Linked DNA regions of Elephas maximus indicus. The protein of the gene in region 1 binds, or shares a complex with, the protein of each later gene. Links are inferred from orthologs where the notes say so. Each region holds a gene or a part of one and is shown in the gene's direction. Other genes may lie near its edges.

The links.
Region 2: the proteins of PIGT (region 1) and PIGU are in contact, whole or in part, in a cryo-EM structure (PDB 8IMX), measured with the Homo sapiens proteins. The link is inferred for Elephas maximus indicus from reciprocal best matches to the Homo sapiens genes PIGT and PIGU. Residues at the interface, in NP_057021.2 of Homo sapiens: Tyr361, Gly362, Leu363, Gln364, Lys365, Arg394, Leu395, Tyr396, Val397, His398, Tyr416, Pro418, Ala419, Gln420, Asp421, Arg422, Gln445, Glu447, Leu450, Leu451, Lys452, Trp453, Thr454, Pro518, Thr519, Pro520, Asp521, Phe522, Ser523, Met524; in NP_536724.1 of Homo sapiens: Glu30, Lys42, Arg43, Val45, Glu46, Ser49, Leu50, Leu53, Val55, Ser59, Gly60, Ala61, Val62, Pro265, Asp266, Leu267, Pro269, Leu273, Trp275, Tyr276, Phe277, Phe278, Ala279, Glu280, Met281, Phe282, Glu283, Phe289, Phe293, Asn296.
Region 3: the proteins of PIGT (region 1) and PIGS are in contact, whole or in part, in a cryo-EM structure (PDB 8IMY), measured with the Homo sapiens proteins. The link is inferred for Elephas maximus indicus from reciprocal best matches to the Homo sapiens genes PIGT and PIGS. Residues at the interface, in NP_057021.2 of Homo sapiens: Pro26, Arg27, Val63, Ser64, His65, Tyr66, Arg67, Lys71, Gln75, Lys79, Tyr80, Val133, Gly136, Lys191, Leu193, Pro194, Cys195, Ser196, Lys198, Ala199, Glu270, Pro271, Pro273, Leu274, Tyr526, Ile529, Cys530, Cys533, Val536, Ala537; in NP_149975.1 of Homo sapiens: Thr9, Glu12, Val13, Gly16, Ala19, Ala20, Phe23, Thr230, Pro238, Lys239, Tyr244, Ile247, Glu248, Val251, Gln256, Val270, Asp271, Ser272, Gln273, Ile274, Tyr276, Tyr277, Met279, Ser309, Arg310, Ser313, Ser314, Ala315, Ala316, Phe513.

The regions. Positions count from the first base shown.
Region 1 is NC_064843.1:23,850,466-23,857,562, reverse strand, and holds the start of PIGT (GPI transamidase component PIG-T), read left to right. Parts: upstream 1-4,081; 5' UTR 4,082-4,123; coding exon 4,124-4,310; intron 4,311-4,856; coding exon 4,857-5,034; intron 5,035-7,097. UniProt on the Homo sapiens protein: Component of the glycosylphosphatidylinositol-anchor (GPI-anchor) transamidase (GPI-T) complex that catalyzes the formation of the linkage between a proprotein and a GPI-anchor and participates in GPI anchored protein biosynthesis.
Region 2 is NC_064843.1:34,776,413-34,783,976, forward strand, and holds the start of PIGU (phosphatidylinositol glycan anchor biosynthesis class U protein), read left to right. Parts: upstream 1-4,562; 5' UTR 4,563-4,663; coding exon 4,664-4,793; intron 4,794-7,564. UniProt on the Homo sapiens protein: Component of the glycosylphosphatidylinositol-anchor (GPI-anchor) transamidase (GPI-T) complex that catalyzes the formation of the linkage between a proprotein and a GPI-anchor and participates in GPI anchored protein biosynthesis.
Region 3 is NC_064837.1:23,322,693-23,330,584, forward strand, and holds the start of PIGS (GPI transamidase component PIG-S), read left to right. Parts: upstream 1-4,890; 5' UTR 4,891-4,912; coding exon 4,913-4,946; intron 4,947-5,197; coding exon 5,198-5,337; intron 5,338-5,421; coding exon 5,422-5,533; intron 5,534-7,529; coding exon 7,530-7,619; intron 7,620-7,892. Other genes in the region: ALDOC (fructose-bisphosphate aldolase C), read left to right, coding at 849-960, 1,047-1,258, 1,370-1,424, 1,520-1,680, 1,799-1,882, 2,136-2,310, 2,424-2,623, 2,793-2,888. UniProt on the Homo sapiens protein: Component of the glycosylphosphatidylinositol-anchor (GPI-anchor) transamidase (GPI-T) complex that catalyzes the formation of the linkage between a proprotein and a GPI-anchor and participates in GPI anchored protein biosynthesis.

The DNA.
Region 1 (7,097 bases):
CCATCCAGACAAACAAATGATAGTAATCCTTGCAAGAGAAATGGTGGCCCAGAAGACAGTGGTAATTGGGTCAAGGCAGGGTACAGATAAATGACATTATTCATTCAATAAATATTAAATATCATTGTCTAATGTGCAAGACACTGAGCATGGCCTTGGAGGGGTGCAGTGGTGAGCAAAAAAAAGGACACAGTCCCTGCTTTTGCGGAGTTCACATACAGCCTAGTGGGGGCCCAAATGTAAAACTGCAACTATGTGGAATGCTAAGAAGGAGTTAATAGCTTTCTCAGAGAGGCTACAAGATTTTTCGCTTGAGGAAGTGGCATTTGAGCTGAGATCTGAATGTCGAGTAGGAATAAATTAAGGGAAGAATGGCTGGAAGGACTTCTTGTGGAGTACTGATTACAGGGGATCCCAGTGGATACCAGGCAGCCAGCAGATGATTGCAGCTGTCTTTTTTTTTTTAGGTACGAGGTAACTGGCTAGGATGCTGGGGTGGCGGGGAGAGTTTGTGGAAAAAAGTAGACAGAATAGAGAGATGTTTAGGAGGCAAATTTGTAAAGTCTTGATGGTTGTGCAAGAGGAAGGGATCAAGTGTACCACCATTGTTGCTGCCTGGTGCAACCAGATGATTCAAGAGCTCTTCACCCAGATGGAGAACTAGGAGAGAACCAGGTTTGGGGAGGTAATATATTTAGTTTGGGCCATGGTGAGTTATAGATGCCTTTGAGACATCCAAGAGGACATGTCGAGTAGGCACTTGGATCCATGGGTGTGGGACTAAGATGAGAAAGGGCTGGAAGAAAAAACAGATGAGTCATCAGTATATAGGTGGTAACTGATGCCATGGGTGTGAATGACCTTGCCCAGGGAGAGAGGGTTCAATGAAATTATAAGGGGCTCTAAGACCCAGCTTTCATGAACATCAACTCATTTCTTACATCAGGAAAAAAAAACCACCTCCCTTTATACATCAAACACCAGCCATGGGATCAGTGACCTCAGCCTAAATCCCAAAGCTCTTGGTGCTACCCAGGCTGAGTGACAGGGCCGCATTCTTCCCATAATTCCATCCTGCTTCCACCCCTGCAGGGGGCCGTTGTGACTGCTGCTAAGTGCTCTTCCTAGTCCTAGTGAGAAACTTGTGGGAGCTCCAGGGAGGTGGATGCGTCCATTGGCAGAGCTCACAGACTTTCCCTGTATCCAGGAAGTTTGTGAATGCCTTTTGTTCCTAATCCTCTGTGTCTAGGTTGAGATCATCCACCAAGCTGGGCCAGGGTCCAGTCTCATGTTAACGTTTGGGGATTTTCTGAGTTCCTTTGGCTTTGCTGTACACAGAGGACATGGTCTCTGTCCTCTTGTGCCTTCTCCACTCCCCTCCTTTGGAGAAGAAAGGCATTCCTGCCTGAGTGTGGCTGAACCTTCTCTTGGGGTGCAGCCCCCTATAGCTCTGCTCTGCAGGCTTCTCAGCTCTCAGGCTCACCCCACTTCTCTCTGGAGTGAATGATAGGAAGTTGGAGTAGCTTGGTGGTTGTCATCAACATGTTAATAAATCTCTTAGTACCCCAGGCACATGGTGCTAAGATTTGGGGGAATAGGGATATACAGCCCTCTTGAGAGGTAGAATTGTTTGTGAGCCTATGGGGAGTCTTCAGTTCAGCTGCCATGAGAAGTCTAGCGTTAGGTCAGACCCCAGGACTACTTCCTGGTTGGGACAATGACTTCCCCCTGACAAACCACAGGGGCTTGGCTGGCCGTCAGAGCCACCATCTTCAGCTGACTGGTTTTTGAGGCCACACAGTGTCCTTGGAGATGGAAAGATGGTTTGGAGCCAACTCCTAGGAAAGGAGCCCAGCTTTCAGCCTCTATAAGCATGGCATGGTGGGGGCATCGTCAGACCTTTGTCTGACTTCTCAAGGGGGAGGAGAGAATCAAGATGAACATTAGCCCAAGGCTGATTCCTATGAGATGGAGCCCTGGTGGTGCAGTGGTTAAGGTGCTCAACTGCTAACAAAAGGTTGGCGGTTTGAAACCATCAGCCAGTCCCAGGAGAGAGATGTGGCAGTCTGTTTCTGTAGGGACTTACAGCCTTGGAAACCCTGTGGGGTCACAGTGAATTGAAACTGACTTGACAGTGGGTTTTTTTTGTAGGGGGCGGGGAATGTTAAACATACCTCCAGCCTTTTTACCAATTCAGACACCAGCTGTCCCTCCCACCACACTCTACTTCTCTGCTGGGTTCTGGGGGTGGGGGGTGGGGGCGGTGAACAGACACTTCACCAAAGAAAATATACGAATGGTGAATAAGCATACGAAAAGACACTCAACATCACTAGGCACCAGGGAAATGCAAATTAAAACCACAATAGGATAAACACCACATACACACCAAATGGCTAAAATTGTTAAGGGCTGTTGAGTCGGCTCTGACTCATAGCGACCTGACTTGTGTAACAGACAAAACGTTCCCCAGTCCTGCCTCATCACAATTGTTATGCTTGAGCCCGTTGTTGCAGCAACTGTGTCAATCCATTTAATTGAGGGCCTCCTTCTTTTTCACTGACCCTCAACCAAGCATGATGTCTTTCTCCAGCGATTGACAAAAAGACCAAAAAGTTAAAAACACCAAATATTGACATCCAAGGATGTGGAGTAACAGGAACTGTCGGTGAGCGTATAAAACGATAGAAACATTTTGGAGAAAGGTCTGGCAGTTTCTTATAAAATTAAACGTACAACTACTCTTAAGCCTAGCAGTTCTACTCCTAAATATTTACCCAAGAGAAGTGAAAAACATACGTTTACAAAGTAACTTGCACAGCAGCCGTGTTGATAATAACCAAAATCTTTAAAGTGCTAGCCTGTAAGGCAACAGAATGGATAAACAGTGGTATCCATACAATGCAGTACTGTTCAGCAGTAAGAAGAAACAAACTGTTGATACATGCAAGAACATGGATGGGTCTCTCAAATATTCTGCAAATGAAAGAAACCTTACACAAGAAGTGTACGTTACAATTTCATTTATCTTAAGTTCTAGAATATGCTAAATTAATCTATGGTAGATAAAAATCAGGACAATGGTTGCCTCTGGAAGGTGGAACAGAGAGAGGAATTGACTGGAAAGAGTCCTTAGAGAACTTTCTAGGGTTTTAGTAATGTTCTGTATCTTGACAGGGTATGCGTTATGCAGGTATGTGCATTTGTCAAAATTCAGTGAATGTACACTTCAAAGTTGCATTTCATTGTAAATTCTACATCAAAAGAAAAAATGTAAACAAATATTGAACTCTAGCTAATCGTATGCACGCTTAAGTATTTATGGGGAAATACTCATGTCTGCAATTTACTTTGAAATGCATCAGAACATAAGATGGAGTCACAGATGTACAGACGGATATGATAAAGCAAGTATAAAAAACAACAACCCCGTTGCCGCGGAGTAGTTCCCGGACTCACAGCGACCTTGGTAGACTCAAACTGCCGATCTTTTGGTTAGCAGTCAAATGCTTAACCACTGCAGGACCAGGGCTCCCACAGCGAGCAGAGTAAAACGTTTAGTGGTGGAATCTACGTGGTGGGCAACAGGTGTTCACTGTTCTTTCAACTTTGAAAATATTCATAATAAAAGGGCAGTGATTTGGGGGATTTTGCAGGAAAGCTCTGCCACTGGAGGAGCTGGATGGGCTTCCAAAACAAACAATCCGCTGCTATCGAGTCTTCTGACTCACAGCGACTCTACAGGACAGAATAGAACTACCACACAGGATTTCCAAGACTTAAATCTTTACAGAAGCGCGCTGCCACATCTTTCTCTGGCTGGTGGGTGCCAACCACCGACCTCTCGGTTAACAGCCAAACGCTCAACCGCTGTGCCACTAGGGCTTACATGGACTTAGAACTGAGCAAATGGAAATACCGGAAGTAGAGGGAGGCAGAAGCCTGGCGTGTGACCTAGCAAAATTAACCTTTTTGCAGTCTTTGTTTCCCAACTGTCAAACGGGTATAGTATTGCATCCGGGTTTCCGGGACGGCACCGGAAGCTGCTTATCAACCGCTCTTCCCATTGGATGCGGGCCTTTCGTGGGGCGGGCGCCGCTGGGAGGTGGAGGCAGCCGCAGGCATGGCGGCGGCTGTGCCGCTGGCTGTCTTGGTGCTGTTGATTCTCTGGCCGGGCGGCTGGGGCCATGCAGAGCCCCCACGCGACAGCCTGCGAGAGGAGCTCGTCATTACCCCGTTGCCATCCGGGGACGTAGCCGCCACATTCCAGTTCCGCACGCGCTGGGACTCGGAGCTGCAGCGGGAAGGAGGTGAGAGGACAGGATCTGACCCGAGAAAGCTTTCCGTGGCACCTGCTGGGGGGTGAGGTGAGGCAAGATGTGGGTGCGGAGCCTGACCCCAGGGTGGGGTTCTGGCTCCTGGGCTTGGGGACTAAAGAGCTGGGTCGTTGGGGAAGGACGGGGTGGTTATTAAGAAACCCCATTGTACCGACAGCGAAACTGAGGCCTGGATAGGGACAGTGACTCCTGATTCCTAGTCCAGTGCTCTTTACACAGCTCCAGGCTGCCATTCTAAGTCTTTAGTCATCTGTTGGCAGCAATGATGCTACTGCTGCCGTTGGCGGTTTTCATTTATCCTGGATGCTGGGCACAGTTCTTAGTGCTGTAAACGACTACAAGGAAGAAATTGAGGTGTAGGGAGGTAAAGGGACTTGGCCAAGATCACATCGCTGTTAAGCAACGGTCTGGTCTGGAATCCAGATCTCGTTGACTCAGATCCTGGGATCTGCTGCTTCTTTGGGTTGACAGAGAGCCCTGCCTTTGGGATCTTTACCCACTGCTTCCCCCGCCCCCCAGTGTCTCATTACAGGCTCTTCCCCAAAGCCCTGGGGCAGCTGATCTCTAAGTATTCTCTACGGGAGCTCCACCTTTCCCTCACACAAGGCTTCTGGAGGACCCGATACTGGGGACCACCCTTCCTGCAGGCCCCATCAGGTGCAGAGCTCTGGGTCTGGTTCCAAGACACCGTCATTGAGTAAGTGCCTACCTTGGGTCCTGTTGAGCATGGCAGGGAAGATGTTGTCATCCTGCACTGCCCATAGGGGCAGTGATTCCAGCAGGCAGCGGTTCCAAGGCTGCTGTTGGAAGTCAGAAATGATATTACCACTGAGTGGTATTCTTTACTGAATACACTTCCTTCGTCTAATAACTCCCAGACCTGAGATGGCACATGTACATCCCTGCAGAGACAGAGAACAAACTGTGGCAAACCAGAGAGCTTTTAAAAAGGCACTCAAATAATAATAATAATAAATACCATGAAAGCCAAACAAAACAGAGCTGTGGACTAGAATTGTCCTATAGGCTGGCAGTTTATGATTTCTGTATTAGAGGAATGGCTTTTGTTTGGGAGAAGCATGGGTCTAGTCACTGTTGTTGTACCACAAAAACGATTCCCCAGTGGCTGCTGTGACTCTTCTACTTAGAATAGACCCTCTGTAAGCCAGACAGGGTTTTGAACTCATGTCTCCTGGGGACAGGCAGGTAACATCAATGAATAAAGATGTAAACATTTTTATAGAGACACAAAACCAAAAAACCAAACCCTCTGCATCGAGTCGATTCCAACTCATAGCGACCAGGGATGAGAAATATGTCTCATTTCTCTTTTAATTCTGGTGTAAGAAATCAGCAGCACAAGTATGATAAACACTTGTAGGGCAGTAATAAGGAATGGTGGGGACTGTGGCAGGCTAGAGGGCTCATACCAATCTAGAGGACAGCTGCTGTTAAGTTCCCATGGATTCTTGCCATGTGGGAACAGAGGCTCAGTGTCATCAGATACTCTCATTTTTCGAGAGAGACCAGAAATCTGGATTTTTGTGTGAAAATTGGTGGATTTACATATCAACAAGTAATTTAGAAATTCAAGAAATGCTATATGAGGCAGGATAGAGCTTTCAGGCTTAGTGTTTGCTTTCTTTGTTTGGGGCTTATGGATTGGAGCAATTGAAGAGCTAGGAGCAGTAGATTATCAAAAAGTCCCAGGACAGCACTAAGAGGATGCCAGACGAGGAGCAAGCAGTGACCCTCAAGCTTGCCATGGCTTCCTCTCTTGCCTCAGCTCTGCTTTCCTGCCTTTTTTTTCTCTCTGCTTTGCTGTTTCTGTCTTTTCTCAGCCCGTAATTGCCTATAATGTAGAGCTGATGTTCAGAATTTTAGTATTTATTAAATTTTATACCTTCAGTTAATATGGGTGCCCGGGTGGCACAGTAGTTAAGCATTTGTCTGCTACCCAGAAGGTCAGCAATTCGAGTTCACCAGCCACTCTTTAGAAACTCTATATGGCAGTTCTCTGTCCAGTAGCATCACTATGAGTTGGAATTGACTTGACAGCAGTGGGTTTGGTTTTTTGGTTATTGTTAATATGAGTTCCCTGGGTGGCAAGAAGGGTTTGAGCTCGTCTACCAATCGAAAGATTGTTGGTTCAGACCCACCCAACGGCAGCACGGAAGAAAGGCTTGGCAATCTTCCTTACAGGTTACAGCCAAGAAAACCCTATGGAGCTCAGTTCTACCCTGTAACACATGGGGTCACCATGAGTTGTAATTGACTCAACGGGAACAGATATTATTAATATAGAAAACCAATCTGTTTTAATGTTTTTCTAGGAAAATAACCTAATTTAATTTGATATTTTTGTGGGGTCCTAGAATGGTTGTTTTCTCTGGTCCAGTGAGCCTTGTGGATATAAGTAGAAACAGAACATATGTTCAGGCCCAGGGTTTTCATAGAGCAGAGTGTGTCGTTTTGCGAGGCTGAGCAAATCTCAGGGTGGATCAGCGAGCTGTCTGCTCAGCCCTCTGAGGCGTGAGGCACTTTGCATGGTGTTGTGGGAGATACATGGATGACCCAGACTTGTTCCTTGTCTTCAAGTTGCTCACGGCCTAGTTGGGGAGAAAAGGTGCTTAGGACCAGATGCCTACCACCTAGCCATCTCCAAGAGGGGCCTGGTGAGAGGCTGGGGTAGTCAGAACCACGGCAACATAGAGGAGGCTGTGGTTGAGGGGGGCAGGAAAGGCCCTCTGGGGGAGGGGC
Region 2 (7,564 bases), about 11 Mb from region 1:
TTCTTTTATAAGGATCAGCACAAAGGTGGTTCCTATGAGGTGGAGGTTAAAGGTGTCCCAAATGTCCTACTTTTCCAAGCCACTGTACCACTCCATCATCTCTAACATCTACTGCTCCCACTCCCCTCAGTACTCTCCCTCCTGTCTTTGGGTTCCCTAATTCGCTGCAAAGTCTCACAGAACTCACAAATCATATAAAGGAAATGGCTCACACATTTGTGGAGGCTGGCAAGTTCCAAATTCATGGGTCAGGCGTAGGGTTCTTTCAGGCCCTCAGTTTCTGCCCAAAGGCATTCAGCTTCCTCGCTCCATGAGCTGGGAAGCCCACTGCGCTGTCTTCTGTGGGTCTCTCCTGCCTTGGTGATTGTGGGCACTTCTCTTTCCTCTCAGGTGGTTCATTTCAAGCCCAATGGGATGGCAAAACTGATCAATCCCCTTGGTGGGCTGCTATTACTCTATTACATAGTCCCGCCCAATCACCTGAGTGGGAGTTACAAGACCATGGTTAGAAAGGCCACACAAAAAAGCAATCCGTTACACTACATGCCCATTTTTAAAGTGGGTTGTCTTTTTGAGTTGTACAAGTTCTTTATAAATTCTTGATGAAAAGTCCCTAGTTAGATACATGATTTGCAGATATTTTCTCCCATTCTGTGGACTCTTTTCATTTTCTTAATGGTGTCTTTTGATGCACAAAAGTTTTTAATTTTGATGGAGTCCAATGCATTGATGTCTTCTTTTGTTGCTTATGCTTTTGGTGTTATAGCTAAGAAAATATTGCCTAACCCAATATCATGAAGACTTACTCCAATGTTTCTTATTTTTAAGTTGTTATTTTTAGCTCTATCATCCATACAAACTAATGTTTGAGAACCACTGGTTTGGGTCACAGCTTCTACCCCCACTGGCTAATTACTATTTTTTTTTTTTCCAATGACAATCCTTATCCTAAGAAGAACTTTCAAGTCATCTGTCAGGATGATTTTAATAATAATATGACAGCTAACTGACATACATTATTGAGCACTTGGTATGTGCCAAGCATTTCGCATTGCATTATCTTGTTCAATCTTCACTATCATACTAGTGTTGCAATCACCTCCACTTATCAGGCAAGGAATCTGAGGCTCAGAGAGGTAAATAACTTGTTAAAGGTGAAAGCAAAGAACTGGCAGAGATCAGATTTGAACAGCTTTGTCTGGCTCCAGAGGCAGTGTTCTTAGCCTCTCCTCCCTACACTAGCTCTACAATGATGTAATATACATATTTCCTCCTTTTACATAAAAAGAGATACCAACACCTACATCTTTAGGAAAGGTTGAACAGACTAAATGAACTCATATGTATTAAAAGTACAGCACAAATCAAAACCGCAATGAGATATCATCTCACCCCGATTAGAATGGTAATGATCAAAATAACAAAAAACAATAGATGTTGATGAGGTTGTGGAGAAACTGGAACCCTCCTCCATTGCTGGTGGAAATATAAAATGGTACAGCCATTGTGGAAAACGGTTTGATGGTTCCTCAAAAAGCTGAACATGGAACTACCACATGGCCCAACAATTCCAATCCTAGATATATACCCAGTAGTGAAGGCAGTAACACAAACAGAAACCTGTGCTCATTCCAATGTCCACTGCAGCACGCTTTTCACAATAACCAAAATATGGAAACAACTGAAATGTCCATCAACAGATGAATGGATAAACAAAATCTGGTATATATGTACTTACAATGGATTATTATTCAGCCATAAAGAGAAATAAAGTCCGGATGCACGCCACAACATGGATGAACCTTGAAAACATTTTGCTGAGTGAAAATAAGTTGCAAAAGGACAAATACTATATGATCTCACTTATATGAAATAAGCAAATATATAGAAACCAAAAATTAATAGTGGTTAACAGGTGTGGGAAGGAAGGGAAAAGGAGTTTTTGCTAAGGGGGCAGTGAGTTTATGCTAATGGTGGTAAAATAATTTGGAAAAGGATAGCGAGAATGGTTGCACAACTTGAAGAATATAATCAACGTCACTGAATTGAACATGTAAAAACTGTTGGTGTATTTTTTTCTTTTTTTTATTTATTGAACTTTAGATGAAGGTTTACAGAACTAGTTTCTCATCAGTTAGTACACATGTTGTTGTATGACATTGGTTAACAACCCCACGACATGTCAACACTCTCTTCTCAACCCTTGGTTTCCTATTACTAGCTTTCCTGTTCCCTCCTGCCTTCCAGTCCCTGCCCCAGGGTTGGTGAACCCCTTTAGTCTTGTTTTGTTTCATGGGCCTGTTGAATCTTTGGCTGAAGGATGAACCTCAAGAGTGGCCTCATTACTGAGCTGAAAGGGTGTCCAGGGGACACACTCTCAGGGTTTCTCCAGTATCTGTCAGGCCAGCAAGTCTGGTCTTCCTTTTTGAGTTAGAATTTTGTTCTACATTTTTCTCCAGGAACCTCTACTGTGATCCCTGTCAGAGCAGTCAGTGCTGGTAGCCAGGCACTATCTTGTTGTACTGGACTCAGTCTGGTGGAGGCCATGGTAGATGGTCCATTAGTCCTTTGCACTAATCTTTCCCTCTTGTCTTCAGTTTTCTTCATTCTTCCTTGCTCCCGAAGGGATGAGACCAGTGGAGTATCCTAGGTGGCCGCTCATAGGCTTTTAAGACCACAGATGCTACTCAGGATTGGTGTATGTTTTGCTATGTATATTTTCATCACAATTAAAAAAAAAAGTATGGCACAGTGCTTTGCACTCAGTGGACGAGAATACCTCTCTCTATTCCTTCTTAATTTTCTCCTTACCCTCTCCTAGGTGATCTACTCCTCCCAATGGTTCAGAAAGCTATCAGCCTGGGGCTGATTTTTGCACTCCCCTAGCATCCTGCTCCCTTTTTTCCTTCTCCCATCAGGGTATGTGATATTATTTTTACTTGTGTTATTCTTTTTGACTGTCTTCTACTATTACTCTTCTCCTCTACTACTCTCCAAGTTCTACAAAGGCAGAAGGGGGGCCATGGTGGTGGTGCAATATTATCACTGCAATATTCCCTAATACCCAGTATAGCCTGCACATACAGTGATCTTTTAAAAATGTACATTTGGAGAGTTATTGCTTAAAGGGTGCTGAATTTCTGTTAAGGGTGATGAAAAAAATCATCAACAGATAGTAGTGACGGTTGCTCAACACGGTGAACATACTGTCACTGAACTGTACGTGTAAAAATGGTCGAAATGGCAAATGCTTTGTAAAATATATTTTACTACAACAAAATAATTTAAAAAAATGTACATCTGATTACATCACTTTCTGGTTTAAAATTCTTCAATGGCTCAATGGGTTGCACTTTGATAAAAACCAAATTCCCAATCAAAGCCAACAGGTACCTGCCTCACCACCCACACATTCTACCACTCTGTTCCCTGGCCACTCCCACTGGGGCCATACTTTTTCATTTCTGATCCTCAAGCACACCTTGCTGTTTCCTGCCTCAGGACCTATTTCCTCCTCCTGGAAACTCTGATTAGTTTTTAATCCTTCAGGTCTCAGCTCAAATGCCACCTCTTTCCAGAGCCTTCCCTGATCACTTCCAGGAACTGTTACCATTGCTCTTTGCCAACACTTATTTTTAATTACGCACCAGTTTTATTTTCTTTAGAGAGCTCAAATTTCCTTGTACCTTTATTTAATACTAATATAGAACATGTGAGCACTTACCACAAGCAGTTGCCATACATTAACTAGTGAGGTGGCATGCTGTTTAATGCTTATCAACTGGTTCTCAAAACCAAAATGCCCTGATTTGTAGTTTGTTGATTTATATAAACACTGGCACCGGGGCGAATTACAAGCTACCAACCGGAGGTAACCGAACTCCCATTTGAGAAGAGGACAGCGGCATACCATTATATAGTATTTCTGCCATAGATTTAGCGGTTATAACCTCAAGAGTACAGATAAAACTATAAAACAGGTAAAATAATGAGGAAGTAACGAGTTTTTAGTATTTTTGCCTTTGTTTTTAATTGAATTAACTGTAAACTTACATTCTTTAATTTTTAACAATGTGTTTAACCGCTTAGCAAAATCTCTAAACATTTCTCAATCGTCTAAGGCGAGCCTGTACCAGCCAACTCCAGTGCATTTTCCAGACCTGACGTACAGAAAGTTAAGCAACTTGTTCAAGGTCAGAAAGCTAGTAAGTCTGTCTACTACTCCAAAATGTATCCTCAGAACCCAATATAGTGCCTAGCATAAAGCTGGCGTTCAATAAACACCTGTAGAATAACTAAATGAATCAATATTTAATACTCTTTAAAAAATATACACTTAAGAATGAACTAGCTTTTAAACTCGCTCATAAGCCCAGGAAGAAAACTGCTTTCAACACAGCTCCACCTGCCGCGGTTTTGCGCTTCACCTGTTCTTGGGGAAGGCGTCGCCCTACGGTTTGAAACAAGCTTGAGCCGCCTCGCTTTCCGTCGTCCTGGCCAGCCTCGCCGCAAGGCCTCCTGGGGGTGTTAGTACCCAAGTTGGGTTGTACCGGCGGCAGCTGCGGCGCGCGCGGGATCGCAGAACTACAGGCAGTGGCGCGCAGGCCACGGGGCTCTTCCGCCTGGCCTTTCCCTCCCCGCCTGCGCGCCCGCCCCAGCTATCATGGCGGCTCCCTTGGCCCTGGTGCTGGTGGTGGCTGTGACCGTGCGGGCGGCCTTGTTCCGCTGCAGCTTGGCCGAGTTCATTTCCGAGCGGGTGGAGGTGGTGTCTCCACTGAGCTCTTGGAAAAGAGGTGAGGCCACTGGCTCGGGTAGGGTGCCAGGTCCCGCCTGCGCTGTCCCGGCTTCCGTGAATGGGAGGCAGGGGCAATGGCCTTGAGCGCGCTGTTCTGAAGGAACTGACCCGCTTCTGGAGTGCTTGGGGAGGGCGTGGGGCTCGGTGCTGAGGGCGGGGCCGTTGAGAGGAGAGGGCGTGGGGCGGGGTTGTGAGGCGAACGTTCTGGGGCCTGACCACCTGAGGGGGCGTGTCCCGTTGAGGGGCCAAAGCCTAGGGACGTGGTCCATGGAAGGTTTCGGATTAGAGGCGGTGGTCCTGGGTGGAGTGGGATTTGGAGAGGTGATTGGGATTTAGTGCAGGATGGCAGGCAGTCCTACCCTGGAATAGGGGATGTGCGTGGGGGGGGGGGGCGGGGGTGAGGGGGCCAGGCTTGCCTAAGCAAGGAGAATGTGTATGAGTGTGTGTTTACCGCTTCTCACTCTGGGTCTTGCAGTGAAATTTTTCCTACTATTCCTTCTTATTTAAATTCTTCATCAAACATTGTTTTATAGTAGCACTTACAATGAGATGCATTTTAGGCTGGAGGAGCCACAGGCTGGTGGAGGAGAAAAGACAAGCAGGTAGTTATAATCATGGAAGAGAAGTGTACTTCCTGTGTCCACCCAGTTCCTTCCTTAGCGTTTCTGACCCTGAATAAACCATTTCTTTCTTTCCCAGCTTCCTAAAGATGCTGGATTTGAGATGCCTTTTGAAGGATGTAGATTAGACAGAGGTGCAGTTCCAGGCAACAGAAGATAAACAGGATCAAAAAATGTTCAAGGACGTGAAATATCTGTTTACCTTGGGGCCAGAATTTGAAAGTTTATTTAAAAACAAAACAAGTTTTTTATTTAACTGAAGTGTAGTGTACATACAGTGCACATATAGTAAGTGTAGAGCTCAATGAATTTTTATAAGCCGAATACACCCAGATCAAGAAACAAAACATTACCAGCACTCCAGAAGTCCCCTTATGCCCTTAAAAAAAAAAGAAAAAATTAAATGCTAGAGCTTTGACGTTATCCCATAGATGTTTTAGGATACGAAATGGCATAATAAATGGGTGTTTTATGGATAATCAGAGCTAAAATTTTTAAAATAGTATGTATCAGGGACTATCAGAAACCCTGGGGGCGTAGTGGTTAAGTGCTACGGCCGCTAACCAAAATGTCAGCCGTTTGAATCCACCACGCGCTCCCGGAAACTCTGTGGGGCAATTCTCCTCTGTCCTACAGTGTCAGTATGAGTCGGAATCGCCTCTACGGCAATGGTTTTATGGGTAAGCCTTTTACATGCCTTTTCTCATTTAATCTGCACAGTAATTCTGTGAGATAGATGCTGTTATTTTTTCCATTTTACAGTCGAGGAAACAGATATAGTGAAGTTAAGCAACTTGCCCAGGTTTCCCAGTAATTCATGTGTGAGATACTAAGAGGTTGGACTTGATATCTTTGTATATAATTATTTATTGAAATAAAGCCACTTGGTTTCTGCTTTCTTCTGGGTACCGGGGGACCCAAGGCAGCATTAGGCCCTCCTCCCACTGGTCTCGTAGTGCGTTGTACATGCCTCTGTTAAGAGTACGGTTGTTGTTGGGTGATACGGAGTTGGTTTCAACTCATAGTGACCCCATGTGACAGAGTAGAACTGCCCCATAGGGTTTTCTTGGCTGTAATATTTATGGAAGCAGATTGCCCGGTCTCTCTCCCATAGAGCTACAGGGTGAGTTCAAACCGCCAAGTTTTTGTTTGCGCCACTTGGGGACTCCTAGATACTGTTACTAGCCTCATTTTATAGATGAGAAAATTGGGGTACAGAGAGATTAAGTCACTTGCCCCAGGTCACGTAGCTAATAATGTCTTATGTGAAGAGCTAGCAAGCTTTTCGCATGACTCTTGCACTGGAGTTTATACTATCTTGTGTAGAAGTCTGTCAGTAATAATAGTGGAACCCTTCTGCTGTATTTTGGTCTTTCTTCAGCCTCTGACCCCAAAGATTAGGAGTTAGTATGTATTTAGCTTCTTGAGTTCAGGATAGAGCTCAGGGTATTGATGCTTATTTAGAAATACACCTCCAGTGAGAGTCAGGGTCAGCAGTGGTATCGCTTTTGATACCACTACTTCAAAAAAATTTTTTTATTGTAAAGTAAATACAGAGGCAGGAAACCACACATAACAAATATATTGCTCAGTGAATTATAATAAGGTGAACATTTTTATATCTGTCATCCAAGTCAAGAATCAGAACTTTGCTACCCATTCCAGAAGCCTCTTCCACATGTCTCATCCCAGCCACAGCCCTCTTCCTCCCCTCTGGTAACCATTCTCCTGACTATTAAGTAATGATGTCTTTGCATTTAAAAAGACGTTTTATCACCCAAATGAGCAACCCTAAACACTATAGTTTAGTCTTCCCCTTATAAAAATGTTTTTATATGTCTTTTATAGCTCTTAATCTCTGAGGGTTTCTGGCAATCCCTTTCTTTGCTTTAATATTTTTCTGTTGTAGAACTAAGACTATTTGACCTGTAGAGTTCTTTTCCTGACTGTTTGTTCTTGGTATAGTTCAATAAGTTCCTCTGTCTTCTGTATTGCCTGCACATTGGTAGCTTTTTGTTTGTTTTTAACTTTATTTGAAATTTTAGACTTACAGAAGAGTTGTGAAGACAGTGCAGAGAGATTCCATATACCCTTCATTCAGCCTCCCTTATTGTTAACATCTTATATAACTACAGGCGTGTTGTTAGGT
Region 3 (7,892 bases), on another chromosome or scaffold:
TTCCTTTCAGCCCCAAGCCTCTGCCCCTGTCTCCCCTCTGGGTGTCTGAGTTCTGGGAAATTGAAGTGCTCCCTATTTCCCATCCCTCCCTCCACACAGGGCAAGTGCTTCTGGGCACTGGGGGTGGCCTGGTGGTGTCACTTCCCCCAGTCTTCCCATACTAACCTAGCTGACCTACTGGCCATCTTCCCTGAAACACTTGTGCAGTCCACTGGGGCCAGCCTCTGGCAATGGGGTGGTGAGTAGGCAGTAGGCATAGGAAATTTGGGGTATGGAAGAGGAGAGGTTCTGGAAGCCTATGGCTGTCCTTTGTGCCACCCCTACTCCCTACCTGCCCCCTTCGTCCCAACGTTTTCCTCCAGAAGCTGAGGGAAGGGGTGGGAGATGATGCGTAGTACTTATGCCTCCTTCTGAAGCCTTGGAAGTGAGTGCAGTTTCCTTAGGGGCCCTACTGAGGATGAGAAAGGAGAAGTTAGAAAGGCCAGGGTTTATGCCTATCTCAGGGAAGAACTGAATTCAGAGGGAGAAGGGTTGGCATCCTTGACTGGGCAGCAGTTTCATAAGACCTGTAGTTTTAGGGCTGCTCGCTTCCCCTCCCCCCTGAATCTTTTGCTGGGGCTGGGAAGGGTGCCCACCAGGGAAAAAAGGAGGTGTGAGAACTAGGGCTCTGAGCCCGCTAGCTGTCAGAGTGGTGCCACTTTGATGCCTGGGACCCATGCCAAGGACTGCTGCCATGTTCCCAGCCCCATGCTGGGGGTGGGGGGTGGGGGCAAGCCATTTGGCCCATCTGGCCAGGAGAGGAAGTAGAGGAGGTATGGGTCTTGTCTCCATTCCAGAGAGCTGTCACCATGCCCAACTCGTACCCAGCACTTTCTCCTGAGCAGAAGAAGGAGTTGTCTGACATTGCCCTCCGGATTGTGGCTCCAGGCAAAGGCATTCTGGCTGCAGATGAGTCTGTAGGTAGGTGGAGGCCTGTGGCTAGGTGGGGTAAAGGTGTTCAGAGAGCCCTGGGGATGGCCTTGCTGCCCCTCCTTGTTTGTCTCCAGGTAGCATGGCCAAACGGCTGAGCCAAATTGGGGTAGAGAACACAGAGGAGAACCGCCGGCTGTACCGCCAGGTCCTGTTTAGTGCCGATGACCGAGTGAAGAAGTGCATTGGAGGTGTCATCTTCTTCCATGAGACACTCTACCAGAAAGATGATAACGGCATCCCCTTTGTCCGTACAATCCAGGATAAGGGCATCGTTGTGGGCATCAAGGTGCAGCCACTGGCCCTGGGTAGGGGTTGGATGCGGAAATAGGTATCTGTGGGAGGGTCGGCAAGGGGGATCCTGCTTGGGTTCAGCTCTCTGCATGTGTATCCCCTACAGGTTGACAAGGGTGTGGTGCCTCTAGCTGGGACTGATGGAGAAACCACCACTCAAGGTACAGGGTGGGTGGGCTTCAGGACCACAGGGGTGCTGGAAGGTTGATGCAAGCAAAAGAGGGGCAGAGTGATGAGGCTGGCATTGTGTCTACAGGGCTGGATGGGCTCTCAGAACGCTGTGCCCAGTACAAGAAGGATGGCGCCGACTTCGCCAAGTGGCGCTGTGTACTGAAAATCACTGAGCGCACGCCCTCAGCACTTGCCATTCTGGAGAATGCCAACGTGCTGGCCCGCTATGCCAGCATCTGCCAGCAGGTGTGTGTGTGTGGGGGGGTGATTAGATGGGTGTCCTGTGCCTGGTGGGGAGAAGGTTATAGGGCTTTCTCCCGTCCTACCTACTGCCCCTCCCAAGCCACTCTGCTCTTACCTGCAGAATGGTATTGTGCCTATTGTGGAACCTGAAATCCTGCCTGATGGAGACCATGACCTCAAACGTTGCCAGTATGTTACAGAGAAGGTGAGTCCTCACCTGGGCACATACCACAGGGACAGCTTGACAGGGCAGCCTGTTCCCCATAGTTCCTGGCTCAGATCCAGGTACACTTTTCCAAAGATTCTTTTTACTTGATTCCAGAACAGGCCTGTGGGTCTGAGCCTGTACTGAGCCCTCACAATCTATGCCCACCCCTCCACTCCCTGGATAAGGACTATAGAGCAGTAAGTGGACCCGTAAGGGACCCAGAACCTTAGAAATCCCTTCTGATCCCCAGGTCCTGGCTGCTGTGTACAAAGCCCTGAGTGACCATCATGTTTACCTGGAGGGGACCCTACTGAAACCCAACATGGTGACCCCTGGCCATGCCTGTCCCATCAAGTATACCCCAGAGGAGATCGCCATGGCGACCGTCACTGCCTTGCGTCGCACTGTGCCCCCAGCTGTCCCAGGTATCACCCTGCTTCTATCCCTAAGGCCCATCTTCAGGTTCTTGTGGCCTTCAAGGGTCTCTTGCCCTGGAAAAATAGGGAATGACCAGTTTGTCTTCTCTCCTCCACCCTAGGTGTGACCTTCTTGTCTGGGGGTCAGAGTGAAGAGGAGGCATCGCTCAACCTCAATGCCATCAACCGTTGCCCCCTTCCCCGACCCTGGGCCCTCACCTTCTCCTATGGGCGTGCCCTGCAGGCCTCTGCACTCAATGCCTGGCGAGGGCAGCAGGACAATGCTGGGGCTGCCACTGAGGAATTCATCAAGCGGGCTGAGGTTGGGAGCTAGAGGTGGTGATAAGGGGGTGGCAGTGGTGGCGTGTAGCCTAGCAGGGGGCAGCACCCATAGACTACAGCCTGGGAAGGTTTGGCACCTGTGAGCTGGCTCAGCCTGAGTCCAGCTGATCTCCCTTACATACCTCCCCTCTCTCTCTCCAATCTTACAGGTGAATGGGCTTGCAGCTCAGGGCAAGTATGAAGGTAGCGGAGAAGATGGAGGAGCCGCAGCACAGTCCCTCTACATTGCCAACCATGCCTACTGAGCACCCATTCCACACCACAGTCCTTGACCTGGCCACATGCACCCAATTTTGCCTGTAGTTATGGCCCGGGCCAAGTAGCCATGCAGAGCAGAGGGCCTCCATTCAGTGCCAAGTTCTCCATTTTATCTTCTTCCCTCCCCTCTCCCATGTTGCACCTGGGACCATAGGATGGGAAGCCCCTGATGACTGAGGGCAGGAGGACTTGCTAGAAGTCAGAGCGGGATGCCTGGGTCTTCTGTGTGCCTCTGTAACCCCCTACAATTTCCCCACGATGGGGTAGCTTCTCCTTGGGCTCTCCTTCTTGCCTCTCCTCTTCTGGGACCAGAGGGTAGGACACTAGCCCTGATTCATGCTGAATACATACCACATAGCAAATAAATGGTAGCAAACATGCTACTCTGTCTGTCTGTTTTCCGCGTCAAATTGCCACCTCCCAGTTGCTGACCTTTGCTGATTCTGTCTCTGGGCCCTCTGATGGTGGTGGTAGACAGGATCAGTTTTGAGTTGGAGGGCTTCAGGTTTATGGGGGAGGGGCACACCCATTCATTATCACCAGCTTAGTCTCTTGCCTGCTGTTACCTAAGGCTGGAGTGGGGCAGTGTGAAGGGTTGCAAGTCTTCCGAGGACTGCCACATCAGGGGCACTAGGCTGCAGCTGCAGAAGGATGGAGTGAGGCAAGACCAGAGCAACTCCTGAAGGCAGATTGTGTGCAAGGCCCCAAACAAGGAGGCAGCAGGACAAGCTGGGAGAAGAGGGGGTGGAAGTCTCTTATATCTCATCTGTGTTGAGCCCTGCTGGGGCCTGAAACATTCAGCTAGGGGAAGCCGCAACAGAATCACCTGGGCTTCTGGGGGCTGCTACGCTGGGCAGGGTACCTAGGAAATTGCGAAGTGCTATAGCCCACTCCCATTTGGGGAAAAGGCACAGAGGGGGACAATTTGGGGTTCTGAGCAAGGGCAGACTTGGTAGGGCCTCGTGCTGAACTTTGACCAGTTGGCTGGAGTGTGAGGCAGGCTGAGCACCTGAATCTGCATGAGCAGACTAGTAAGATAAAGAGATGTGGGAACATGCTGGGTGTGTTGTGTGAACTGAGAGCTACGCTTCACCCAGTTAATTATTGCAAAGTGGGAATGTAGGCCTGACCTTATAACAAAAATAGCTAACAGAGATAGCACTTTTTACGTGCTCTTGCCAGGCCCGGTTCTAGTCACTCTACGTATACTAACTCGTTTAATACAACAATCCTGTAAAGTAAGTACTATTGTCCCTATTTTAACATGAGGGAACAGTTACAGCAGTTAATTAACTCACTCAAGATTACTCAGGTATTAAGTGGTGAAGCTAGGATTTGAACCCAAGTGATCAGGATTCAAAGTCTGTGTTCTTATGAATTTTCAAGATTTTTAAGTGTCTGAAGTTTTACAAGTTGAAAATGAATACAAGGTGAATTAAAACACTGCACTGAGTGAGCCAATTTTGCTAAGAGTTAGTAGCTTGCCACCTCCGTGTTTGAGGGTGAGGATAGGGCTCCCAGAAGAGGCAGCGCTATGAAGGGGATGATAAACAGTGATGGTAGTAGTTGACATTTGAGTGCCTTGAGGGTCTTTACACGAATGCTCTCACCATTTAACACGAGAAAACAGGCTCAGAGTTGCGAAGTAATTTGCTCCTTGGTCGCCTAGCTAGTATTTAATGACTGCAGAATTTACGTTCTTAATCCCTGGGGGCTCGGAATGTGTTCTACAAGAAAAAAAATTTTTTTTTTGAAAGCTGGAGCTTAATCAGGTGCCCCCAGCAACGCCGTCACTCGCCCCTCCTTGTCCTTGTACCCTCCTTTCGAATTCCCAGCGAGGCTCCATGCAGACCCCGCCCACGCCGCCGGCTTTCTCCCGCCTGGCAGTTTGGAGTGCCACTCTCTAGCGGAGCCGTCGTTGCCGTGGTCCCGCCCCCTCCCTACGGGGCTTCCGATTGGAGGAGGCACGTGCAGCTCCGCCCCTCGGCGGCTTGAGCAGCCGGAAGCGAGCATGGCGGCCGCAGGGGCCGCCGCCACAGATATAGGTGCGGTGGGACTCGCGTGGTGTTTCTTGGACGCCCAGGGAGGAATGCGGGGGTGGGGATGGTGACCCCGCAGACATGGGGCAGGGGTCTCAGACAGGGGTCCCTTCAGAGTTGAGGCCCCTCGGGCGGACATCCCTACTGACGCGGGCCGAGGGCCTCTGGGCCCCGGTTGCCCGGCCTCCTCCCCGTTGGGGCTGGGCCTGGCCTCCGAGCTCGACCCCTACGCCTTAGTCGGTCCCCCGTGTCCCTAGAGGTGGTCCGGGGCAAGCGCGCCGCTCTCTTCTTCGCTGCTGTGGCCATCGTGTTGGGGCTGCCACTCTGGTGGAAGACCACGGAGACCTACCGCGCCTCATTGCCCTACTCCCAGATCAATGGACTGAATGCCCTGCAGGTGAGACTCCTTAGGGGAGGACTGGGGGACAGCCCACTGTCAAGGTGGAGACTCAGCGGACGTCCCTGACGCCCCTTCCCGCAGCTGCGGCTCATGGTGCCTGTCACTGTCGTGTTTGCCCGGGAGTCAGTGCCCGTGGATGACCTGGAGAAGCTGCCCTTCACCGTTGTGCATGAGAGAGAGATCCCGCTGAAATGTGAGTTCTGGGGGGCCAGGACTGCCCTTCCGGCCTGAGCTCAGACCAGAGGTGGGTTGGGGAAGGAACCTGGGTGTCCCATAAAGGTAGTTAGAAACTTACTGGTAAAAGCTCTGTCTGAAGGAAGAGTATGTTTGGTTAGAAGAACACTAAATTCACTGTCTGTCATTAAGGCGGAGATTTTATTCATAAAATAGTTCTGGTGCCTTATCAGAAGCAGTTGATGCTCATCAGAGAATAGGGGAGGAAGGGGGATATAGTGGAAAGAACATAGATTTTGAAATTAAATTGGGTTTGAATACAGGTCCTTTTCAGTTTAACGTTAAACACTTCACAGAATATTAGGTGCTTTTTCTTAGGTACCAGGAATTCAGGGAAAAATTAAGTAGATAATTGTTTCAAGAAGTTCATAGGTAGGGGAGAAGGACACTTAGCTAAAGAAATTACAGAAGCATACAAGAACCAGCGATAGCATTTAAGAAACAGATTTAACTGGGAGGAAAGAAAGGCGAGAAGACTGAGAGATGTAACTTTTAAGCCAGCTATTTAAAGGATGAGTAGGAATACAGGTGAGATCCCTGGTAGTGTGCGCAGTGATTGAAGCACTCAGCTGCTAACTCAGCTTGAACCAACCAGCCACCAGCTGAGGGAGAAAGATAACGGTAGTCTTCTTTTGTAAAGATTACAGCCTTGGAAACCTTGTGGGGCAGCTCTGCTCTGTCCTATAGGTTCACCATGAGTTGGAATCCACTTGATGGCAATGGGTTTGGTTTTTGGTTTTGTTCACTTTTGATGATGCAAAAATTATTTGATGAGTTCAGGTATTGTCAGCCTGATCTCTATATTTTAATGTTCCCCATCAACCTTTCATCCAATCCATTGATCTGATCCATTGATCCTGAAATCTCTTTCATTAGTGGTTGCAAAAATGATAATTTTCTAATTCTGTCTTCCACTTATATGGCTTGGATTTCTTCTATAAGGAAGGAAGAACTTTCCCATTAAATATTTAGTTCAGCTTGTCAAGTTCCAGGAAAAAAAAATCCCTTTGGAATCACCTTACATGTATAGATTAACTTGGGGAGAATTGACATCCTTACAATATTTAGTCGTTCTCTGCAAGAGACTTGTATGCTTTTTCCATCTTACCGGGGTCTTTTTTTATGTTCTTCAGTAAACCCGGTGCCGTCGAGTCAATTCTGACTTCAGTAAAGTTCTCGCATTTTCTTATTATGATTTTGTACTTTTATTCTTGGGCACTTTTATAATTTTTATTGTTGCTACGATTGGGATTTTTAAAAATTACTATTTTTCTAATTGAATATTTATCAGAAGGTTATTGATTTGTGTGTATTCTCGTATCTGGTCATCTTACTGAACTGTTGCTACTAGTTCTAATAGCTTTTCAGATGGTTACTTCTTAATTTTCCAAGAAAATATACCGTCTTCAAAAATGGCCATTTTATCTTTTTCTTTCAAGTATTTGTAAGTCTTTTTCTTCACTTATTATGTTGGTTTGGATCTTTAGAAAGAACAGTATCAAATAATAGAAAGTAATAATAGAGGCGATAGCAGGCATCCTTGTTTTTTGTTCTGTTTTTTACCGACTTTAACGGAACCGTATTTAGTATTTTGTCATTCAGTGTGCACCTTTGTTTTTATCAGGTATGTTTATTGAACTTCCTTGGCGTTTTGGGGCAGGGGTGGGGCAGCACTTGAAGCCATTACTGTAATGATTATAGTAGTAGATCTCACAGTTGGAGGATACTACAGCGTGTACACAGGCAGAGAGGCGGGAGCTGGGGCAGATGGAAGAAGTGGAGTGCCGTGTGTTTGATACCATCCATGCAGAAATCATTAGAGTTGGCTGGAGCGTCTTGATCTTTCTCTGCACTCATCTTGCTGTTCTCACACTGGGCAGTGTTAGGACTGCGGGCGATGGGCAGAGAGATCTGAGACTTGCCCTTCCCATCACGCTTCTTCCTCTCCCTCCCAGACAAAATGAAAATCAAATGCCGTTTCCAGAAGGCTTACCGGAGGGCTCTAGACCACGAGGAGGAGGCCCTATCGTTGAGCAGTGTGCAAGGTATGGGGAGGGCATCTTTGTAACATGAATCCCTTTTCATGTGATCTCTTGAGTGTGGTTTTCCTTTTTTTTTTTTTTGAGTGTGTAATTTTCATACCTTGGCTTACCTCCAGTGTGTCTCTGGGAAAGCTGGGAATGAGACACTTTGTGTTTCAGCTTGGGTCACTGAGGGCCAGAGAGGTCAAGTGGTTTGGTCAGCCGGGTGTGAGTGGGAGCTAGAGGGGTGGCCTAGATACTCCGTAGAGGGCCGGTGGAGATGGGATGGTGTTTTTC